5 linked regions of the Oryctolagus cuniculus genome follow. The protein of the gene in region 1 purifies or fractionates together with the protein of each later gene. This does not show direct contact. Links are inferred from orthologs where the notes say so. Each region holds a gene or a part of one and is shown in the gene's direction. Other genes may lie near its edges.

The links.
Region 2: the proteins of CEP290 (region 1) and NEURL4 purify together in Homo sapiens (affinity purification with mass spectrometry; 3 studies listed by BioGRID and IntAct, with this or other methods). This does not show direct contact. The link is inferred for Oryctolagus cuniculus from reciprocal best matches to the Homo sapiens genes CEP290 and NEURL4.
Region 3: the proteins of CEP290 (region 1) and CEP97 purify together in Homo sapiens (co-immunoprecipitation; 4 studies listed by BioGRID and IntAct, with this or other methods). This does not show direct contact. The link is inferred for Oryctolagus cuniculus from reciprocal best matches to the Homo sapiens genes CEP290 and CEP97.
Region 4: the proteins of CEP290 (region 1) and IQCB1 purify together in Homo sapiens (co-immunoprecipitation; 8 studies listed by BioGRID and IntAct, counting the BioPlex papers as one, with this or other methods). This does not show direct contact. The link is inferred for Oryctolagus cuniculus from reciprocal best matches to the Homo sapiens genes CEP290 and IQCB1.
Region 5: the proteins of CEP290 (region 1) and PNMA2 purify together in Homo sapiens (co-immunoprecipitation; 3 studies listed by BioGRID and IntAct, with this or other methods). This does not show direct contact. The link is inferred for Oryctolagus cuniculus from reciprocal best matches to the Homo sapiens genes CEP290 and PNMA2.

What each region holds. Positions count from the first base shown.
Region 1 is NC_091442.1:90,754,668-90,759,169, reverse strand, and holds part of CEP290 (centrosomal protein of 290 kDa), read left to right. Parts: intron 1-371; coding exon 372-536; intron 537-1,586; coding exon 1,587-1,694; intron 1,695-1,897; coding exon 1,898-2,032; intron 2,033-3,506; coding exon 3,507-3,773; intron 3,774-4,502. UniProt on the Homo sapiens protein: Involved in early and late steps in cilia formation. Its association with CCP110 is required for inhibition of primary cilia formation by CCP110.
Region 2 is NC_091448.1:51,923,053-51,927,554, reverse strand, and holds part of NEURL4 (neuralized-like protein 4), read left to right. Parts: intron 1-46; coding exon 47-135; intron 136-576; coding exon 577-649; intron 650-791; coding exon 792-1,056; intron 1,057-1,289; coding exon 1,290-1,471; intron 1,472-1,666; coding exon 1,667-1,752; intron 1,753-1,874; coding exon 1,875-2,037; intron 2,038-2,131; coding exon 2,132-2,330; intron 2,331-2,414; coding exon 2,415-2,491; intron 2,492-2,576; coding exon 2,577-2,655; intron 2,656-3,272; coding exon 3,273-3,448; intron 3,449-3,535; coding exon 3,536-3,667; intron 3,668-3,973; coding exon 3,974-4,119; intron 4,120-4,192; coding exon 4,193-4,417; intron 4,418-4,502. UniProt on the Homo sapiens protein: Promotes CCP110 ubiquitination and proteasome-dependent degradation. By counteracting accumulation of CP110, maintains normal centriolar homeostasis and preventing formation of ectopic microtubular organizing centers.
Region 3 is NC_091435.1:56,375,027-56,379,528, forward strand, and holds part of CEP97 (centrosomal protein of 97 kDa), read left to right. Parts: coding exon 1-501; intron 502-4,502. UniProt on the Homo sapiens protein: Acts as a key negative regulator of ciliogenesis in collaboration with CCP110 by capping the mother centriole thereby preventing cilia formation. Required for recruitment of CCP110 to the centrosome.
Region 4 is NC_091435.1:78,107,821-78,112,322, reverse strand, and holds part of IQCB1 (IQ calmodulin-binding motif-containing protein 1), read left to right. Parts: intron 1-3,085; 5' UTR 3,086-3,097; coding exon 3,098-3,197; intron 3,198-3,412; coding exon 3,413-3,575; intron 3,576-4,502. UniProt on the Homo sapiens protein: Involved in ciliogenesis. The function in an early step in cilia formation depends on its association with CEP290/NPHP6.
Region 5 is NC_091433.1:47,728,324-47,733,526, forward strand, and holds the start of PNMA2 (paraneoplastic antigen Ma2), read left to right. Parts: upstream 1-2,180; 5' UTR 2,181-2,278; intron 2,279-5,203. Other genes in the region: DPYSL2 (dihydropyrimidinase-related protein 2), read right to left, coding at 1,496-1,849.

The sequences.
Region 1 (4,502 bases):
TTAAAATAATTGTCTTGCAGCTGAATGCTGTTCTATAAGCTATAAACATTTACGATTTCCATTTTTGAATGTAATACCATTATTTCTGCTATATGCTTACCATAAGTGATCAATTAATATAGTGAATGAATAACTCAAAGTGAATGTTGGTAGTATTCATTCCACCATAATTGAAAGAATGCTTAATGTAATTTTCCACATATTCTTGGGAGAGTCTATAGAAATCATAAATAAACTGCAATGTAGCTCAATCAAGGATGACTTTATATCATGTTTTATTACAGAATGTCCATTAATTTCAATTGAAATTATGATTTATTGAAGAATATTTATATAAAATTTACATTTATATCTTAACTTATAAACATTAGGTAATTAATTGGCATATGAAAATAGAAGAACTTCGTCTTCAAGAACTTAAGCTAAATCGAGAGTTAGTCAAGGATAAAGAAGAAATAAAATACTTGAATAATATAATATCTGAATATGAACAAACAATCAGCAGTTTGGAGGAAGAAATCGTGCAGCAGAACAAGGTTTTATTTAATTTACTTTACTGGGTTTTTTTTGCTAAAATTTTATACATAAGAACATTGCATGAATGACTAGCTTATTCTCCCAGTTGAATGTATCACTGATTAGTAATAGATTATAAAATAATCTGTTTTAAAAATGCACATCTGTATAGTTGTCATAACAGTAGTTTTCAACTAAAATGGAGCAATTCATAAGTGAACTTATTTGGAAAGTTAATTTTCAAATTGATACTTGTTATTTGAGTTTTCACAATTGCAAGTTTAACTCACTGATGGAGAAGAAGGTATTGTGGTATAGAGTAAAGCATGTTTTTTTAGAGACAGACCAGATTCATCAAGCACATGCTTGCTTTATAGATTTGTTGTTCCCTTGCTTTGAATGTTCTTACCCAGATGCCTGTGGTGTTTGTGCTTCTACTGCCTTCAGATCTGACCTTAAGTATCTTACCTTCTCAGTGCAGCCTCTGGGGCTCTATCAGGTGCACTTTATCACTCACCTCCTTAGATAACAACAAACTTGTGTTACAAACTCCTGTTGAGTTTCCCTAATAAAGATTACTTCTATTCATTTTTCTTCTTGGCACTTATTATATATATCACCTGCTTATCATTGTCTCTCTTCCCCTCACCAGAATCTAAGTTCTGTGGTGAAAAGGACTTGGTTTTTTTCATTGCCGTGTGTGTATTGCCTAGAATAGTCCTTAGCATACAATTTGCTTATTTGTCACTAGTTATCTTTTGGAGGGATGAATGAATGGGTGAACAGATTGAAATCCTGAATTCATACTTGCCTATTTCTATTATCGCAGGCAAGTTACTTCACTTCTCTGAGTTTGTATCCTTTTCCATAAAATGAGAATGATATCAGTGACTATAAAATGTTGTTGTGAGGATGAAATAAGAATATGTATGTAAAATTCCTTGGAGTTTGTGTGTGTGTGTGTGTGTGTGTGTGTGAGAGAGAGAGAGAGAGAGAGAGAGAGAGAGAAAGAGTGAATATGCGAGAGACATGCACACACACACACAAACATACAAACTGTACTTTTTCAGTTTCATGAAGAAAGACAAATGGCCTGGGATCAAAGAGAAGTTGAACTGGAACGTCAATTAGACATTTTTGACCATCAGCAAAATGAAATACTCAATGCAGCACAAAAGGTATAAATGATTAATGCTGTTTCCTACTCTGTAGCCTGGTCTAAGGAGTATTAACTGAAATATTTTCTAAATCAGATGAAATTTTAATTGATGTCATCTTTTTATATTTAAAATATAAGTCAAGTTTAATGTATATTTTACTGTATAGTTGTAAGAATATTGTTATTAAAAATCTTTTTTAAAAATATTATTTTTCCTAATAGTTTGAAGCAGCTACAGGATCGATGCCAGACCCCAGTCTGCCCCTTCCAAATCAATTGGAGATTGCTCTAAGAAAAATTAAGGAGAATGTTCGGATAATTCTAGAAACACAGGCAACATGCAAATCACTAGAAGAGGTAATTATAAGAATTTGCATTTTGATTAGTGTATTATTGGGTATGCTTGTTGACTTTTCTAATTAATATTTATTAATACTAATGATAAGGCATAGAAAATTGAATCTGTTTCTAATTCTACTGTTTTACTTTTCTACTATTAAGTTTCTAATAGCTGACAGTGGACACCAGATATAGTTAATTTGAATTCACTACTCATTTAATTACTACTTGTTATTTTGGGGCATATGTTCAGTAACAATGAGAATAAAAGGAAGCAAAATGAACATTTGATTTTTAGCTTTATGAGCTGTATATTACCTTCTGCTAGATGATCTTTTCATCCTTATTTTAAGTTTTCTTTTGAAGTGTGTATTGCATTCTCTATGGATGAATTTTCAGTTCATTCATTTCTATGAGGGATATAAGGATTGAAAGTAAAGTAGAAATTACTTGATATTTTAATCTAGGTCTTGAATTTGATTAGTAAATGATCAAATATGTCTTTATTAAACTATTCATAAAATAATATAAACTGAGTGTTTCGTTTTAGTTTCTATCTAAACATGCTAGTTATAAAAACATTTTAAAGCAATCTTTCAAGTGTATTGTACATTTTAATAAATTCAGAAAACTTAGTTTTTCTTCAATAATTATCAGACTTGTCATGTATGTGAATTATTGCTGAGTTCCTTGATTTCAAATGTCTGTCTTAATCATACTGAAAAGTAAAACTTTTTTCTGCTTCATTTTAACTAGATTTCATAGTAGTGATTCATGGACCTGGTCCTCTAAAATTCTAATTTTGTATTCAGCTGACTTTTTTTATGATTTATTTATTTATTGGAGAGACAGACTTACAGAGAGAGAGGGCGAGATAGAGATCTTTCATAAGCTGGTTCACTCTCCAAATGGCCACAGTGACCAGGGCTAGGCCAACCAAAGCCAGGAGCCATGAGCTCCTTCTGAGTCTCCCACAAGGGTGGCAAGGATCAGGAACTTGGGCCACCTTTTGCTACTTTCCCATGCTATTAGCAGGGAGATGGATCAGAACTGGAGTAGCCAGGACTCAAACTGGTGCCATATGGGATGCCAGCGCTGCAGGCTGCAGCTTAACCCGCTATACCATAGTACCAGCCCTACTCAGCTGACTCTTAACGGATTATTCTAGTGCCCAGATAGCAGGCCAAAATAAGAGATTATTTATTATATTTCTTTCTCAATCTTGTACCACTACACAGCTATAGGATCTAAAGTATCCAAATTTAATTCTATCATCATCCTAAAAGTGGTTTTTAACACATATTAAAATGTACATGCAAGTAATTGTATTATCACCTTCAAATAGTCAGTTTCATATTACTAAAATCAGATGGCTGCTAAATATGCAAAAAATAAGTGAAATTCTTTTTTTTGTTTGTAACTAACTGAAATTCAGATAATGTGTTTTAAAGGAAATAACATAAATTAATAATTTACTATGATTTGATTACAGAAGCTTAAAGAAAAAGAATCTGCTTTACGGTTAGCAGAGCAAAATATTCTGTCAAGAGATAAAGTAATCAATGAACTGAGGCTTCGATTGCCTGCTACTGCAGAACGAGAAAAACTTATTGCTGAGCTAAGCAGGAAAGAGGTGGAACCAAAATCTCATTACACGTTGAAAATTGCACACCAAACCATTGCAAATATGCAAGCAAGGTTAAATCAAAAGGAGGAAGTATTAAAGAAATACCAAAATCTTCTAGAAAAAGCCAGAGAGGTATTTTATATTATGTTATGCTATTTTATTTATTATCTTGTTTTTTAGTCAAATGCCAATTATTATTCTGCCTTAAGTGGGAGTTCATCTGTTGTTTTCAAATGATTCTATTTAGGAATTATAACTTTCACTTGATTGGGTTACAGATCTACCAGAAGAACTGGCAGTTTGTATAGATGTATATTTTTTCTCTTTTTTTCCCCCAAAGGAAACTTTATTTAATAAGTACGAATTTCATAAGTACAACTTTAGGAATATAGTGATTTGTCGCATCATACCTGCTCTCCCACCCCCATTCCCACCCCACCTCCTCCCTCTCCCATTCCCAGTCCCATTCTCCATTATGAAAAAACAACAATAACAAGAACAATTGAAAAACAAAAACAAAAAAACTGTCCTTAGTAGTAAGACAAGGGCTGTTCAAGTCATTTCTGCTCAAAGTGTCAATTTTGCTTCTACAGATTGCCTTTTAGGTGCTCTGTTAGTTATCACAGATCAAGGAGAACATACAATATTTGTTTCTTTGGGACTGGCTTATTTCACTAAGTATGATGTTTTCCAGATTCATCCATTTGGTTGCAAATGACCAGATTTCATTTTTTACTGCTATATAGTATTCCATAGAGTACATAGCCCATAATTTCTTTATCCAGTCTTCAGTTGATGAGCATTTAGGTTGATTCCATGTCTTCGCTATTGTGAACTGAGCTACAATAAACATGGGGGTGC
Region 2 (4,502 bases), on another chromosome or scaffold:
GGGAAGAAGCCTGTGTCCTAACCAGGGCGTCCACCTCCCGCACCAGGCACCATCATGATGAGCGGCTGTGGGATCCTCACCAACGGCAAAGGCACCCGCCGCGAGTACTGCGAGTTCAGTCTGGATGAGCTGCAGGTGCGCGGGGCCCAGAGCCTCCGGCCGCCCTCCTGGGCGACGCGGGGATTCTGTGTCCCTGGCTGGCCGCCATGCATTCAGTGGTCTCTGACCCAGAACTGAGGTTCCTTCTGAGGAGGTGGGGTTGCCCGGCAGCCTCTAAAATGAGGCTGTTCACAGCGCAGCACGTATTTTATAGGTTGAGGTTTGAGGGAGTTGACGCCCGTAAGACGGTTTAACTCAGCGCCTGACTTGCACTGAGTGTTCAGGAACTGCAGACGTGGCCATGTGTGGAGAACAGGGCCCGGGCACCTGTCCTCCTGTGCCCCAGGGTGATCTGAGGCTAGCGTGGACATCTCTGGGAGCTGCTGTCCTGTGGAGGGGGTGGCAGCAAGGCCCAGCGCTGTTCTGGGGCCTGACGGTGGGTAGATTCCAGGCTCACGGCTTTTCTGCTTTGAATAGGAGGGAGACCACATCGGCCTCACGAGGAAGTCCAACTCTGCCCTGCACTTCTTCATCAATGGCATCGACCAGGGTGAGGGGCTGCTCGCAGGTGCTGTTGGGCCAGAGCTTTCAGCCGGACGGGGAGCATAGGGTCAGGACCTCAGCCTCCTGCCTCTTGTGGGTGCTCGGTTTCCCCGTGGTTGACTCCCCTCCCCCCGTTCTCCACTGCACAGGTGTGGCCACCCCGCTGACGCCCCCAGTGGTGTACGGTGTGGTGGATTTGTACGGGATGGCAGTGAAGGTGACCATTGTCCACAATAATAACCACAGCGACCGTCTCCGCCGCAACAATGCCATCCTGCGGGCACTGTCCCCCGAGGGCGCCCTCCGCCGAACCGCTCCTGCCGCCCAGGCGGAACCCGAGCGCCTGCTCTTCCACCCTAACTGTGGACAGAAGGCAGCCATCACCCACGAGGGACGCACTGCCCTGAGGCCCCAGTATGGCCCACGGGGTGGGGAGAAGCCTGCAGAAGGGGCTCTAATGGGACTGGAGAGGGGGTGGCTGGACAAGTGAGAGGCAGAGGGAGTCGGGTCTGGGGCGTTTTGGACAGGAGAGTGGGGCGCCTCCCGCAGTGGGAGGTTCAGTTGGTTGGCTGGGGCTGGCGGGCGTCACTGGGGGAAGCCTTGACACCGAGTGTTGGGATCTGACTCCCCATGTGCTGTGCCCTCAGTGCCACCGACGACTTCAATCATGGCGTGGTACTCAGCAGCAGAGCCCTGCGGGATGGAGAGGTGTTCCAGGTGCGCATTGACAAGATGGTGGACAAATGGGCTGGCTCCATTGAGATTGGCGTCACCACTCACAACCCTGCCTATCTCCAGTTGCCCTCCACCATGACCAACCTGCGCTCTGGTGAGCTCCCGAGAAGGCCAGGGCCAAGGTGGGGTCCCAGGGAGGAAGCTGTCCCCGAAGCCCTGACCCTCATCCTCATCTAGTGGCTGGGGAGCACCCAGTGGGCAGGGCAGAGCTGTTCTGCGGGGGCTGCCATGCAGAGGAGAGAGGCCCCGCCTTCCCTCTCGTGTCCTCTGCCACTCCTCATCCCCCTAGGGACCTGGATGATGACCGGGAACGGGGTGATGCACAACGGGACGACCATCCTGGACGAGTATGGGCACAACCTGGACCGCCTCAAGGTGGGAGAGTGAGGGTCCTATCTGGGCACAGCAGCAGGGGAGGCAGGCGAGGGGGGCCGATGCAGGACCAGCCCAGGCAGGAACTCCGCCTGACTCCTCACTCTAGCCCCCCTTCTTCCAAGGCAGGGGACACGGTGGGCGTGGTGCGGCGGGAGGACGGGACGCTCCACTTCTTCGTCAACGGGATGACTCAGGGCCCCGCCGCCTGGAACGTGCCTCCCGGCGTCTATGCCGTCGTTGATCTCTACGGCCAGGCAGCCCAGGCCACCATCGTGGACGACGTGGGTGAGGGCCGGGCAGCGCTGGGCAGGGGCTTGGGGTGGCCTTGGGAGGCCTTAGAGACACCTGGCAACCCGACGGGTGACGTCCACTCTTGCAGAGGTGCCCCCGGTTCCTGAGCCCCTCCCTGAGGGGAACAACCAGGTGTCCCCGAGCTCTCCGTCGTCAGGGGCCGGGGGCTCTGACCTGCGCTTCCACCAGCTGCACGGCAGTAACGCCGTCATCACCAACGGCGGCCGCACCGCGCTGCGCCACAACTGCCGCAGCGAGTTCAACGACGCCATCGTCATCTCCAACCGGTCAGTCTGCGCGCTGGCGCTCCTGCTTCCCGCGGCCCCGCCTCAGCCTCCCCAGGGCCTCTCTCACTGCCGCCTCCTCGGCAGGGCCCTGCGCGACGGAGAGCTTTTTGAAATTGTCATTCAGAAGATGGTGGACCGCTGGTCAGGCTCCATTGAGGCAGGTGAGGGACATCTGTGTGAGTGCTGGGGGGTCCTGGGGCCTGTGGCCTCGGGGTCAGTGCTGACCAGTTCCTGCCTCCTCCCCAGGAGTGACTGCTATTCGGCCTGAAGACCTGGAGTTCCCCAACACGATGACCGACATTGACTATGATACGTGGATGCTGAGGTTGGGCTTCCTGCCTTTTTTTTTTTTTAAAGATTTATTTATATATTTATTTATGTGAGAGGCAGAGTTACAGAGAGAGGGGGAGAGAAAGTGAGAGAGGTCTTCCATCCGCTGGTTCAGTCCCTAAATGGTCGCAACGGCTGGGGCTGGGCCAGGCTGAAGCCAGAAGCCAGGAGCTTCCTCCGGGTCGCCCATGCAGGTACAGGGTCCCAAGCACTTGGGCCATCCTTCGCTGCTTTCCCAGGTCTTAGCAGGGAGCTGGATTGGAAGAGGAGCAGCCTGCCAGTACTGCAGGCTGAGGCTTAGCCTTTGATGCTGTAGCACCAACCCCAGGCTTCCTACTTTTAAGAGCAGCTGAGGGGAGGCTGAATGGAGCCGGCTGGGAGGGGCAGAGCCAGGGGACTGGCGGTCCCTTCTGTCACAGAAGCCCTGCCTAGCCCTACAGGAACTCGATCTTTCTTCCTTGTAGGATGGTTTCTGCTTTGCCCTGGGGGACCTCAGGATGGGGCTTCTGGCCCAGACCAAGACCCCAGTCTGGGTCTGACCAGCAGGGACTGAGCGGGGGCCAGTGTGGGGATGAGGCTGGGAGGCTGAACACACTCCTGCCGTCCCTGCAGCGGCACCGCCATCATGCAAGACGGCAACACGATGCGCAACAACTACGGGTGTGACCTGGACGCGCTGGGCACGGGGGCGCGCATCGGCATGATGCGCACCGCCAAGGGCGACCTGCACTACTTCATCAACGGCCAGGATCAAGGCGCCGCCTGCTCAGGCTTGCCTCCGGGTAAAGGTGACTACTCTGTGGCTTTGGGCCTGCACCCTCAGGCCGTGCATCCCAGACCTCGGGCGTCTGACCGTGGCTTCCTCTGCCGTCCAGAGGTGTATGCAGTCGTGGATCTCTATGGCCAGTGTGTGCAAGTGTCCATCACTAACGCCACCGGCCCCATGGACAACAGCCTGGCGACCAGCAACAGCGCCACCGAGAAGTCCTTCCCCCTGCATTCCCCAGGTGCAGTGGCAGGGAGGGGGCTGCAGGCTCTGCTTTCCTGCTGTGGGCCCTGGGGGTGCCGCAGGCACAGCCCACAGTGGCACGCTGTCAAGTGGGGGAGGTTATGCCTGGTACACAGAGCCTGACACCGTGGCCTGGGCGTGCCAGGTGTGGGCACGGGTGGTGTAAAGGTGTTGGGGCTCTAAGGAGTAGTGGCAGAGGGGGCCCTTTGTGTCCACTTCCCACTTCATCTGAAGGCTCTGCCCTGTGTCTCGCGTGAAGCCTGCAGCCCCAGTCCTACCCCTTCCCTGGTGCCGTCTTTCACAGTGGCTGGTGTGGCTCACCGATTCCATAGTACCTGTGGCAAGAACGTCACCCTGGAGGAGGACGGCACGAGGGCCGTGCGGGCGGCTGGCTATGCTCACGGCCTCGTCTTCAGCACCAAGGAGCTCAAGGCTGAGGAAGTCTTTGAGGTGGGCTGTGCAGGTGGGACAGTGGGCGCCGCGGGCAGCACGGCAGGGCCAGCTGATGCTGTCTCTCACGCAGGTCAAAGTGGAAGAGCTGGATGAAAAGTGGGCGGGGTCCCTCCGGCTGGGACTGACCACACTAGCCCCAGGGGAGATGGGGCCTGGGGCAGGCGGTGGCCCCGGGCTGCCTCCCTCCCTGCCAGAGCTCCGGACGAAGACCACCTGGATGGTGTCCAGCTGTGAAGTGAGGCGTGACGGGCAGCTGCAGAGGATGAACTATGGCCGGAACCTAGAGAGGCTGGGGGTGAAGCAGCTGGCTCCGGGGACTGGGAGGGCTTGGGAGTGGGGGTGGCAGGGAGGTGGGCTGAGCATCTGCCCTGTCCCACATC
Region 3 (4,502 bases), on another chromosome or scaffold:
TGATGTTACAGATGAATCTATGATACGACTGGAAAACCAGAACTTGGATAAGGAAGAGGAAAAGTCTTTATGGGCTGCAAATGAGAATTGTGTTCAACCGATAAAAAATGAGATGAGTAAAGAGGTAAATGAGAAAAGTAGGCTGTTACCTTGTTCTGAGCCAACACTAGTCAGTGCTGTCCTAAAGGATGATAACCATAATCTTACATCTTCTCCTGAGTCAGTTGGACACATCTCTCATATACAGCCAGACAGTGAAGAAACTATGTCTCAAACAGCTTCAGAAAAAGTTCCCTGCAGGGTTTTAACCCAGAGATCTGTTGCTTTGGGAGAAGATAAAATTGCACTTCAGAAGTTGAATGAGGCAGCCACTAAGCTTCAGGCCTGTTGGCGGGGCTTTTATGCCAGGAACTACAACCCTCAAGCCAAAGATGTGCGCTATGAAATCCGGCTGCGCAGAATGCAGGAGCACATTGTCTGCTTAACTGATGAAATAAGGAGGTGGGTTAAAAATCCTGTTGGAGTTCTGTTTTGTTGGTTTGGAGTGTCAAGTTCTTTTTTTCTTTCTTTTTTTCCTTTTTAAGATTTATTTATTTGAAAGGCAGAGGTATAGAGAGAGAAGGAGAGACAAAGAGACAGAGAGACAGAGAGAGAGATCTTTTATCTACTGGTTCACTCCTCAAATGCCCACAACAACCATAGCTAGGCCTGGCCAAAGTCAGCAGCCAGGAGCTTTTTCCTGGTCTCCCACATAGGTACAGGGGCCCAAGGACTTGAACCATTCTCTTCTGCTTTCCCGGATACATTAGCAGAGAGCAACTGGAATAGAAGTGGAGCAACTGGAATTCAAACCAGTGCCCATATGGGATGCTGGCGCTGGAGGCCATGGCTTAACCTGTTGTGCCACAGTGCCAGCCCCAGGTTCTTCTTTTTAACATCCTAAATATTTTTTTTTTTGACAGGCAGAGTGGACAGTGAGAGAGAGAGAGAGAGACAGAGAGAAAGGTCTTCCTTTTCCGTTGGTTCACCCCACATTGGCCACTGCAGCTGGTGCACTGTAGCTGGCACGCTGCGGCTGGTGCACCGCGCTGATCCGAAGCCAGGAGCCAGGTGCTTCTCCTGGTCTCCCATGGGGTGCAGGGCCCAAGCACTTGGGCCATCCTCCACTGCCCTCCCAGGCCACAGCAGAGAGCTGACTGGAAGAGGAGCAACCAGGTCAGAATCCGGCGCCCCGACTGGGACTAGAACCCGGTGTGCTGGTGCCGTATTAGCTCATTGAGCTGTGGCGCCGGCCTAACATCCTAAATATTTCTTCAAGATTTATTTATTTATTTGAAAGTCAGAATTATACAGCGAGAAGGAAAGGCAGAGAGAGAGAAAGGCCTTCCATCCAATGGTTCACTCCCAAATGGCCGCAATAGCCGGAGCTGCACCAATCAGGAGCCAGGAGGGAGACCTCCGGATCTCCCATGCAGGTACAGGGGTGCAAGGACTTGGGCCATCTTCCACTGCTTTCCCAGGCCATAGCAGAGAGCTGGATCGGAAGTGGAGTAGCTGGGTCTTGAACCGTGCCCATATGGGATGTCAACACTTCAGGTGGTGGCTTTACCTGCTACACCACAGTGCCGGTCCCAACATCCTAAATATTTTAACCTGAAACATATAAGTGTACATTTTTCAATCTTTTGAAGTCCAATCGAGGTTTTTCTTCTTTGCTATTTGGAATCCAGCATTCTTTCGGCATAAGCCAAGGCATAAGAAAATCTGTAACATTTCTAATTTGAATATATTTAAAGTAAAACAGGACCATAAATATATGAATATAAAAACTATTGAGTGAATAATTCTGGATATTTATGATTTTTTCATCAGTCCTTCCAAGTTGGGATCCAGAAGCAATTTGTTGTTGTGCTTTTTGTTTTTTTCTGTTTTTTTGTTTGTTTGTTTGTTTAAGATTTATTTGAAAAACAGAGTGACAGAGATCTTCCATCCACTGATTCACTCCCCAAATGGCCACAGTGGACAGCACTGGGCCAGGCCTGAGCCAGGAGCCGGGAGCTTCTTCTGGGTCTCCCACAAGGATTTAGGGACCCAATGACTGGGCCATTTTTCATTGCTTTTGCAGGCCATTTAGCAGGGAGCTGGATCAGAAGTGAAGCAGCTGACATTTTAGCTGGTATCCATATGGGATGCTGGTGCTGCAGGCAACAGCTTTAACCACTCTGCCATGGTGCCAGCCCCAAGCTTTTTTTTTTTTTTTTTAGATAAATTTTAAGTTTACATTATAGTCAAAGGCTAATGGCTCTATTAAATAAAGAATTCAACAAATAAAAAGCAAAAAGAACATTCTAGAAGGTAAATGGGCAAGAGCTATTAAACAATAATCAAAGGAAAAGATGTTCAACTTTGGTCATATAAATTTTAAAGTAGTCGCAAAATCATTAAAACTATAATAGTATATAATTCCTTTCAATTTATTTAACAAAGATTTAATACAAAGTTTGACAAAGTATTGTATTTGTAGCAGTGCTGATACACATGAAATATCTTTAATTATTATTATCTTTTTAAATTTTAGCTCCTACATTCAATGGAGAACATGTGGTATTTGTCTTTATGTGTCTAGCTTGTTTCACCCAACATAATGTCGTACAGTTCCAACCATTTACTGCAAATGATAGAATTTCTTTCTTTTTTATAGCTTCATAATATTCCTGTGTTTATGTGTATGTGTGCGTATAAATACACACACCAATATTTTCTTTATCCATTCATCTGATGATGGATACCTTAGTTGATTCCATATTTTCACTATTGTGAATATTGCTGCTATAAACATGGTGGAACAGATATCTCTTTGATACAATAGGTTTGTGTCTTTTGTGTATATACCCAGTGGTGGAATTGCTATGTCATATGGCAGGTCTATACCTAGTTTTTTAAGAAATCTCCATAATCTGAGGCCAGTGCTGTGGTGCATTAGGTTAATCCTCCACCTGCAGCACCGGCATCCCATATGGACGCCAGTTCTAGTCCCGGTTGCTCCTCTTCCAGTTCAGCTCTCTGCTTGGCCAGGGAGGGCAGTAGAGGATGGCCCAAGTGCTTGGGTGCCTGCACCCGCATGGGAGACCAGGAGGAAGCCCTGGCTCCTGGCTTCAGATCAGCGCGGTGTGCTTGCTGCAGCAGCCATTGGTGGGTGAACCAATGGAAAAAGGAAGACCTTTCTCTCTGTCTCTCTCTCTCTCTCTTACTGTCCACTCTGCCTGTCAAAAAAAATTTTTTTAAAAAGAAATATCCATAATCTTTTCCGTAGTGGCTGCACTAATTTTCATTCCCACCAGCAGCATATGAATTCTCTTTTCTCTATTTCCTTGATAGCATTTGTTGCTCTCTGTCTTTTGGATAATAGCCATTGTGACAGGAGTGGGGTGATACTGTAGATTTGGTTTGCATTGCCATGATGGCTGGTGATACTGAACTTTTTTCCATATATTTGTTAACCACTTGTATTTCTTCTTTTGAGAACTGTCTATTCAGTCCTTTGCCCATTTCTTAAGTGGATTTGTTGTTTTTGTTTGTTTGGGTGTGGTGGATTCATAGTTGATTCAGACAACTATGCTACTGCTGTCATAACATATTTTATACCATGTAGCTAATATTAGTTTAGTTTTTTTTTTTTTTTTTTTTTTTGGCTAGGAAGTATATGCCGCATCTTTTTTTTCCTAAATTTTTACAAAGGTTTATTTATTTGAAAGGCAGAGTTACAGGTTGGCAAGGGCAGAGAGAGAGGTCTTCCATCCACTGGCTTACTCCCATATGGCTGTGCTGGCTGGAGCTAGGCAGATCTGAAACCAGGAGCCTGGAGCTTCTTCCTGGTCTCTCGCCTGGTTACAGGGGCCCAAGGATTTTGGCTATCTTCAGCTGCTTTCCCAGGCACTTTAGCAGGGAGCTGGATTGAAGGTGGAGCAGTCGGGACTCAAACCAGCACCCATATGGGATTCCGGCACTGCAGGTGGCAGCTTTGCTGCTACACTACAACGCTGGCCTCTACTTGTTTGTTTTTTACAATACACTGAAAGCATATTTTTTAAAAAAGATTCATTTATTTGTTTTAAAGGCAGAGTTAGAGAGAGAAGGAGTGAGAGAGGGAGGGAGAGAGAGAGTTATTTTGCATCTGCTGGCTCACCTTCCAAATAGCCACAACAGCCAAGGCTAAGCCAGGCTGAACCCAGGCTGAATCCAGGCTGAAACTCTATCCCAGTTTCCCATGTGGGTACGTGGTACAGGTACCCAGGTACTTGGGCCATCATTTACTGCTTTCACAGGCAGGTGCCTTAACAGGGAGCGGGATTGGAAGTGGAGCAGCTGGGAGTTAAACCAGTACCCATATGGATGCCAGCATTGCACGCAGTGGCTTAACCTGCTGTGCCACAGTACTGGCACCCTGCAAGTGTCTTGAATGCAAAGACTTTGCGTCACCATTTTCGGCACAGCAACTGGTA
Region 4 (4,502 bases), on another chromosome or scaffold:
GTCACCCATTTAGCACTTGAACATATTTTGTGTATGTATGTACACATATTTGCTTTTCTTTTCCAATCAGAACATTAGCAGGAAGTCTGTCCTATATAAAAATCTTTGAGATCCTTTTATCTACCATACTGCTTTATACATATTTGGTGATGATATTTTAGTAATGTTTTATTATGGTAGCCATGATATCAAGAAGAATGTTTGAAGTCTGCTTTAAAATGCTTCTAACCAGAAATCTGGGAAAAAGTTCAAGAAATTGAATTTCAGAATGCTGGAGGCTTATTCATTTATTCATCCTTTCACCATGTATTTATTAAGTACCTACCATATACCTGGCACCTGTCTAGCCACTGAGGCTATAGTAGTAAATGAAAATTAAGACAGCCACTACAAAAGGTAGATTTACCTTACCTTCTGGTGTGAATTTTCTCTAAATATATACTAAAATGAATTATGTTGGACTAACACAAAAATAAATACACAGACAAAATAGAATCCAAAAATATATCCTCTGTGTGTATGTATACTTAATGTATGAAAATATGGCATTTCACATGGTTTGTGTTGTGTCTATTCATGACCAGTTACCTCAGGAATTTATTAATTCTTTGTGCATTTGTCCTTTTTTAACCAGTCTGTAACCTCCTCTAACTCAGAAAATACAGTTGAATTCCTTTCTCAAACCATTCATGGGTATAAATATAAGAAAAACCACAGAAACACTAAAAAACTTGATGTGTTTTAGCTCTTGGGGTAGACAGGATCTTCTAAGTGTGATACAAAAGGCTGAAGTGGAGAGGAAAAGCTTGTTATATTTGCATAAAAGTTATAAAACTAGGAGTGAGCATTTAATTTGGTAGTTGAGATACATTCCATACATAGTACCTGGATTAAATTCCTAGCTGCAAGTCCTGACTCCAGCTTCCTGCTAATGTAAACTTTGAGAAGCAGCAGTGATGGCTCAAGTAATTGGGTTCCTGCAACCCACATGGGAGACCTGGATTGTGCTCCCAGCATCTGGCTCGGGCCTCAGGCCCAACCCCAGGTGTTGCGGTTATGTGTGGACTGAACCAGCCAATAGCAACTCTGTCTGCCTCTATGCCTCTCAAATTAAATAAAAGCTCATATTCATAAGTGAAAAGCTTAAAAAAGAATACAACAAGCCAATAAAAAAAGGTTAAGGGATATGAATAGAAAATATATAGAAGAAAAAATGAGGGGCAGGCATAGTGGATTAAGTCACACACTGCCTGTGGCACCAGCATCCCAAATGGGTACCAGTTCAATTCCCAGCTGCTGCACTTCTGATCTAGCACTCGGTTAATGTGCCTAGGAAAGTGGCAGAGGATGACCCAAGCATTTGGGCCCCTGCATCCAAGTGGGAGACCTGGAAGGAGCTCCTGGCTTTGGCCTGGCCCAGCCTTTGCTGTTGTGGCTCTTTGGGGAGTGAACCAGCAGACGGAAGATCACCCTCTCTGTTTCCCTCTCTGTGTAACTCTGCCTTTCAAATAAATAATAATAATAATAAAAAGAAAAAGTGGCCAGTGATCATAAAATGTGCCTGACTTACCTGATACTCAAAGAAATACAAATTAAAACAAGATCATACCATCTTTCATTTAGCAAATGAAATGTGAAAGTTAACATTAAGTATTTAAAAAGTGCAGTAAAATGAGAATCGTCATATTTTGGTAGAAGTATAAACTGGAACAATCACTTTGGAGTAAAACTGATTCTACTTGAAATTTAAAATATATATATCCTATGACCCAATATCAAGGGAAATTCATCCTATATAAATTCTGTCATGATTGCATAAAGATGCATACATCAATATTCATTGTAGCATTGCTTAATGCTAACGTTAACCTGAATGACCTCAAATAACGGCGAGGTTTGAATATATCTTGATGCACCTTTATAAAGGAAACATAGTGTAATTTAACCATTGGAAAGAATGAGATTATTATGTGTTCTCTTTTGCAATGTTTTGGGCTTCCCATTGACCAGGTATTATCTATTAATGATTTATATTTTTCTTAATGAGATGATTTATTGTGTGATGGCCAACTCTTCAATATAAAGGATGAACCATAGTGCTAGTTGTGAAGAATAATAGTTGTAAAAAGTGAGAGGCTGGAGCCACGGCTCACTAGGCTAATCCTCTGCTTGCGGCGCTGGCACCCCAAATTCTAGTCCCAGTTGGGGCGCCGGTTCTGTCCTGGTTCCTCTTCCAGTCCAGCTCTCTGCTGTGGCCTGGAAAGGCAGTGGAGGATGGCCCAAGTCCTTGGGCCCTGCACCCGTGTGGGAGACCAGGAGGAAGTACCTGGCTCCTGGCTTCGGATCGGCGCAGCACGCCGGCCGTAGCGGCCGTTTGCGGGGGTGAACCAACGGAAGGAAGACGTTTCTCTCTGTCTCTCTCACTGTCTAACTCTGCCTGTCAAAAAAAGAAAAAAGTGAGAAGTAGGATATTTGGGAATATGATTTGTATTATTATTTTACATAGGAGGGAATATAGTATTTAAAACCATAGACTTTGGAGTCAAACTGATTTGATTTAATTTGTCACCACATGCTGTTAGAATCATGACAGATTTTTTGGTTTAACCTACTATGCCACAGCACCAGCCCCTTAACTGACATCTTAACCACCAGGCTAGACACCTGCCCCAGTGACTAGAATTTTTATTGAAAGATGGGTCACTGCTATGGTTTGGATCTGGTTTGTCCCTCAATGGTTAATGTATTGGAAACTGCCCCGGTGTGATGGTGTTAAGAGAGTGGGACTTTTTTGGGTGGGGTTTAGTATGAAATAAATAGGTCATTTGGGAGGCTGTCTTCAGAAGGGATTATTGTTCTTTGTGGACCCTGGTTAGTCCTCATTACAGGGTTGTTACAAAAGAGCAAGCCTGGGACAGGAATTGTGGTACAGTACGTTAAACTGCCATTATTTCCACTATTTCCCAAGATGTGATAAAAATTTACTCTTCTCTTTTCAAATAAGGCAAGAAAAGCTATCTTCATTTATGTAACAAACATTATTTAGGTAATGAATACTTTATTCTCTATTCTGTTAAAAATGTAGGTTGTATAAGAAATGAAGCCAACAGGTACAGACCCAAGGATTTTATCTCTAGCTGCTGAAGTTGCAAAAAGTCCTGAGCAGAATGTTCCTGTTATATTGTTGAAGTTAAAAGGTAAGAAAATCATTTTGTGATTGTGTAATGTGGTTTAAATAAAAAATAATTTCATCATTGTTACAACTTCTCATTTGTCCAGAGAAATCTATACTATAACAGTGATAATGCTTTACCTTTTAATTATTTTTAATGGTTAGTCAACATATAAAAATACAAGTAGATTTTGGATATATTGAACAAAAATAAGTATATCTTATTTCTCTTTGCCTTAGAAATAATAAATGACACACCTTTAGGAAGCTCAGAATTGAAGAAAATCAAACAAGATATATATTGTTATGACCTCATTCAGTATTGCCTTTTGGTCCTTAGTCAAGATTGCTCTCGAATCCAGGGTGGTTGGACTACAATTTCCCAGCTTACACAGATATTAAGGTAAAATTAAGCAATAAATCTGCTTGTTCTTGAGGGATGTAGTTATTCTGATTTTCAGAATTTACTTCTATCTTTATCTGCTTAACAAGTATTGGAAACCTGCTGTGGTGCTTTGATTGTACTTTTCCTTTGTACAATATGCTATTGTTCATATTTCTATTTGCAACTGACTCTCAGATTTCCTTCCATAAGCTTCATGAGGATCGTGATCCTTTCTTTTGTTGAATAAGTATCTAATATACTCTTTGCTGAGAAATATTTGAAGAAATAAAGAAAGTCACTGGCTTTGTACTTCAGAACTTAAAATAGAGATAGAAAATCATGTAATTGTATGATACAAGGCAAAATGAAATAGGTGCTAAAGTGAAAGTGCTATAGGAGAAGCGATATCAAAGCTATTTTATTGACACATCCTATCATTAAAATTTAGGAGCAGCATTTACTTTTTTACTGCTATGCTAAAAATTATAGAAAAAAGATTACAATCACTTTTTAAAAGAAGGCAGTAAAATCAGATGTTTTTAATGCCTAAACCACTTCCTGATTAAATAACTGAAAGAATGCATTTATTAAATAAATGTTAGCCTGCTTTTTCCTTGTTTAAACAAGCTATTTGATTTTTAATGAACTATACCCCACTGAAGGGGTTTGTCATATTTACACTATGGCTTATATCCTAACTTTCTAAACTGCTTATTCCTACTTTATTACTAAAGGCCAAATTTAAAATATATTGTTAAAACCATTAATAAATGGATTTTTTTATATTTTAGTTTTTAAATGAATGATTTCCTTCAATAAATAAAGCCTTATGTTTTTGTTTTGATTAAATATGCTAACTCTTGACAACATTGTTCAAGCTAGACTTTCTGGGATGGGATTCAAGCAAGTTCTCATGTTTGTGAATGCACAAATAAATATAATTTT
Region 5 (5,203 bases), on another chromosome or scaffold:
ATATGAGACATTCCCCAATACAAGGATGGGGCCAGGAAGTGGATATAAATTAAGTCATTAGTTGCCTTGGCTTTTGAAAATAATACCAATTTTATTTTTCCTACAACTATGAAAGTCAAAAGCTTCAAAGCTCTATGCCATATCAGGAAAAAGGTAACATCATGGCTTAACCACTATCACCAACTCTTAATTGTCCTCCAGCACTTTCGCTGTACGTATGCAAACCTGATGGGAAAGAAATGCCATGGAATCCCTCAGGGAATAGCAGAGACCACTCCCAACTATGCTGGAAGCCCCTGTAGAAGAAACCTCTTGAACTTTGTATAAGTAACCTTCCCCCACATGACAGGGCAAGACACACAATAGATATTCAAGAAATAACTATTCACTGATTGATCTTTCTTCATCTTCACCCATGAGTTTGGAAGAGAAACAGCAAAGAAGCGTGAAGATATTTCGCACTGGAAATTATCAGTTGAGAAATGAGGCTGTGAAAAACTGCACAAGGGCAAAGGTCATCCTGATGGAGAAAAAACTGTGTGTGAGACAACTACTGGACTTCCAAGGCTCGAGATTCGTATTTGCCAGTGGACGGCAAACATTTCCTAAAATCAAGGTCGACCAAACTGGCCTTCTTTGTTTCCACATGAACACAGTAGAAAGGGTCTGATCTGACAATCTATCTCAGCTATGAGGGGTGGGGTTCTCCTCCCCTCCCCCGTATTCTATTTTTTTTTTAACCCTTTGAATGCAATCCACTGAAGGCCTGCCCCAAAGTGCCTCCCAAACAGCGGTGGGAGCGCTCTGGGAAGCCCTTGCGGAAACACTTGGCGGAACTTTGTTCTCCTCACGGACTATTTAGCAGCGGTTTGGTTTCCACCGGGGGATTCCACGGCCTCCTCACTCTTCTCTCCAGGCAAACAGGAACCAAGCGTGGTGATGCTGCCAGGCGGGCCAGGGAGGCGCTGGCCATGGTCCTGACCTCCGAGCTCGGGACCTGGGCGGAGAGGGCGCCGGAGCAGGTGCGGCGCCGAGCGGCGGTCCGAGCCCTCGCCCCTCCCGACCCCCCGGGAGCCCGCGGGCCTCCACGCCAACCTCCACCGCACGCTCCGAGCTGCATCAAAAAAAGGGTGGGGCTCCCAGCCACAACTGCAACCCGAAGCCGCCGGCCCGGGAGGACTTAAGAAGAATGGAACCGCGGCCCACCCCTCTCCCAGGGCGACCCCCTCTCCTCCCAGACCCCGATCGGCCAGTCCCTGACGCCCATCCACTTCCCAACCCCCGAGCCCGGGGAAGCGCGAGCAGCCTTTGTGGGCGCACGGCCGCCCACCGCCGCGCCCTGCGCGCAGAAGGGGCGGGCAGGGTGGGGTGCGCGTGCGGAGGCGGAGAGGCCGCGGTCGCGGCAGGGCACGAAGGCAGGCGCCCAGGCTGCAGGGGCGAGGGGCGAGCTGGCGCCCGAGCGCCCGCACCCACTTACCTCCCCGCACACACCCACCTGGTCGTAGATGTTCTGTAGGGCTTCCTTGCCCGAGGCCCGCCGTATCTCCACCTTCCTGCCGGATTCAACAGATGGCTCCCCGCCGGCGCGCCGGCCCTGCCGCGAGTACGGCGTCTGAGGGTCCGGGCCCAAGTGGGCGACGTCCCGCTGCTGGGCCACCACCTGCCCCGAGCCCCGGCCCACCGACAGCGAATCGAAGTCGATGGTCTTGTTCTCCGAGGACCCTTCCACCGGGCAGAACATGCCACAGAATTTCTGCCGCGGCTTGGGGCTGCCCGAGCCCAGATTTTTAAAAAAGGCAGGGACCTCTTCGTCCTCTGCCGCCTTCCCGGACTGCTTCCTCTCGGCCATGGCGCGGGGCTGGGGAGGGTCCCGTCCGTGCGTGCGTGCGCTGGTCCTTCAGGCTCCCTCTCCGCGTGCACAGACCGCGCTGCCGCTCTCTGCCCACCGCAAGGTGCACAGAAAGGAAGGCGGGCTGGCGAGCGGGCGACCCACCCTCCCGGCCCCGCCCCCTGACCCCGCTCTCTCCCCTCCCTGCCCACGCCCCCCGCGCAAGCTAGCGGCAAAGTTGAGTCTGGGAGGGCCGCCGCTGCGGCAGCCGGAGCCGAGACGCGGCCGGTTCCCGGCAACGTGGGGCGGGGCGGGGCGCGCGCGGGACCCGGGCGGGGGGGGGGGGGGAGGGCGGCGCCTCGCGGAGCCCCGCGCTCCGGAAGTGAAGCGGCCAGACCCCCGGCTAATGGATGCGGAGCGCAGGGCGCGCTCGCCGCTCTCGGCGCCACCGTAAGTAGCAGGCCGAGCACGCGCGGAGAGGACCCATGGGCGCAGCCCCGGCGCCCCGCTCCCCCGCCACATTGCGGAGTGGGTCGGGGGCGAGGCCGCAGAACTCTCCCCCCCGCCCCGCTCCGTTTTACCCGGGTGGGAGCTGGTGGAGGGGGAAGGGGCGACCAGCTTATTTAGGCACCGGGATTGTCACAGGGAAGGCGTGGCGGAGAGGGTGGCAGTAGGAGTGGGAAAGGTGTGGCGCAGGCGGCGCCGACCGCACCGGGGGACCCCCCAGGCTCGCCGACGCTAGTACTGCCGTGCACCGACGCCGAGGGGGGCGGCAGGAAGCAGAGACCCGCGAGAAGGTTCTCGCAGGTTGCACGTGGTGGAGGGTGCGGAGGCGCAACAAGGCCGGGAGTAAAGCGCAGGGGCGTTGCAAAGTGGAAGACGGGGTAGCGTAGCGAGACGCAGGTGGACGGTTTGTGTGAGCGTAGGCAAGACTGCAGCCTGCACGTGCCAGCCCAGCGGAATCTGCAGAGAGAGGTTGCAGAGTCGCTGTATTGCCTGAGGGCCGCCATGCCGCCTCTGCGCCAAGATTTGGTATCTTCCATCTCCCCCGCCAAAAAAAAAAAAAAAAAAAGGTGGGGGAGAAGCGGGGTGAGGGCCACTCCCTAAGCCTTCAGCCTGCTCCCGCATCCGGGCACTGTGTCTGTGCCCCCTCCCCTCGCCCCTGTTGGCGCAGTGCGCCAGAGCGGCGGGCGGAGGAGGTGCCTCGATCTGTGCGGCGCCCCGCGGAGACCAGGTGCGGACCGCGGCGCCGGCGGCGCGGCTCTCCGGGGCGCATGGCGATTCGTGTGGATGAGGCTGGCCCTGCCATGCTCGTCTCCACGGCCTTCCCCCGTTTCAGCCCCTCCTTTAGCAGTGTGCTGAGGGAGGTCGGCGCTGAGAGAGGCAGCAGACCACGGGCCCGGTGACCGAAGACTCAGCCCGCACCCCCAGAAGGATGAAATTAAACCACGCTTCCCCACAGGGCGAGGCCCGGTCGGTCGGCTGAATAAAGTTTGGAGGAGAACCAGTCAGTCTGTGGGGACGGCGTCTCCGCCAAGTGGGAGGGGCCGAGGAGCCAGGCAGGCATTTTGAATCCCCGCACCAGATGTGCTTTGCATTTGAATAAAGCGCTTCTCTCTGAGTTACATCATTTCCTACTCACCGCAGTCCTGGGAGAGGACGGGTTTTATCACCAGGGCTTTCCAGGTTAGGAAACTGAAATTCAGGGAGATTGGAGGCATGCTGCCCAAATCTAGTGAAATGACCCAGTAATAACAGTGTGGGGGGGGGGTCTTCCGGCTCCAACTGCGGGTGTGGTTCCCTGAAATGTGAAAAAACTCAAGAGTCGGACATTTTTTCCACATCCAGGGGTTTCCATCTGGGGCCCTATTCCACGTTAAATGCATTGCCCTCGCCATCTTTCTAATTGAGGGGCAAGGAGGGATGGCACTTGAGAGAGTGGTCCCAAGGTGACAGCTACGTGGGTCTTAGAGGTGTTGCTTTCTGAGCGTTCAAAGCCTTTCCTCCAAGGGGCAGGAAGGCCAGCCCCATGGTGTAGAAGGGAGAAGTTCATCATGGAAGAGCCAGGAGTCTCCAGCCCCCGGAGCTGCTCAGCGCAGACTTCCCTGGCACCTTCCAGATGGACGCGGTATGTCTGCCGCTGGTATAGCTGCAGGTGACTTCTGTGGCATCTGGACGGCTGATGGAAGTTTTCAGGCCAAAGAGGAAATGATCTTAGCTCCCTGACACACCCTCCCCAGTGCTGATGATCGCAGTCCACAAGCAACAGTGGTGGTCTCCCCAAGAGTGTATCATCATGACCATCCTGGTTTGTGTCAGTCACTCAGTGGTGTTCACCCAAGGTCCAGATCACAGTGCCTTTCTCTGAACAAATCTTCACCACTAAGCCGCACGTGACTGAGGGCATTAGGAACTCTTGCCTCCCCAAGTTCAACGCTGGGAAGAAAGTGTTGTGTTAATAACTTACTCTTATCAGCCCTAAAGGTGTTCATATCTGGCTAAAAAGCCTATGAGAGTATCTCAGGCATGGAAAGCCAAGACACTGTGGCAAAAAATGACCTAAGTAAAAGATCTCTGTGAGTGAGATCCCAGCGGAAAGAATGGGCCGTCAAAGAAGGAGGTACCTTTCCCTGAAGGGAGGAGAGAACTTCCACTTTGATTATGGCCTTGTCTAAATAAGATCAGAGTTGGCGAACTTAAGAGGCTTCCATAGCCTTGGCAGCTCCTGATGACAAGAGCCTTGGGTGACTACTGACGTCATAAATAAGAGTGTCAATTGTTAACAACAGGAGTCACTGTGCACTTACTCCCCATGTAGGACCTCTATCTTTAATGTGTTGTACTATGCGAATTAACAGTAAAACTAGTCTTCAAACAGTACTTTACACTTTGTGTGTCTGTGTGGGTGCAAACTGTTGAAATCTTTACTTAGGATAGAGTTGATCTTCGGTATATAAAGATAATTAAAAATTAAAAATGAATCTTCATGAAGAATGGGGTGGGAGAGGGAGAAGGAAATGGGATGGTTTGCGGGTGGGAAGCTGGGTGTGGTGGGAAGAATCACTATCATATAAAAGTTGTACTTTTGAAATTTATATTTATTAAATAAAAGTTTTCTATTAAAAAGAACTTATTCATAGCACAAAAAAAAACACCTACTTGTGCATTTGCAGAGCCTCACCAGGCATACTAAAAGGGAATTAATTGATAATTCCAAAGTAACTCATTCATCCCTGAGCTTTGTCTAGTTCTTATACCTATATTTTAAATGTACACGTGATTCTTGGTTGGATTTTTTTTTTATCAAGGGAAGCAACAATATTACTGAGTAGATGTAATTGAATTATGAAGGGTTGTCCTTTTTTGAGTAATTGC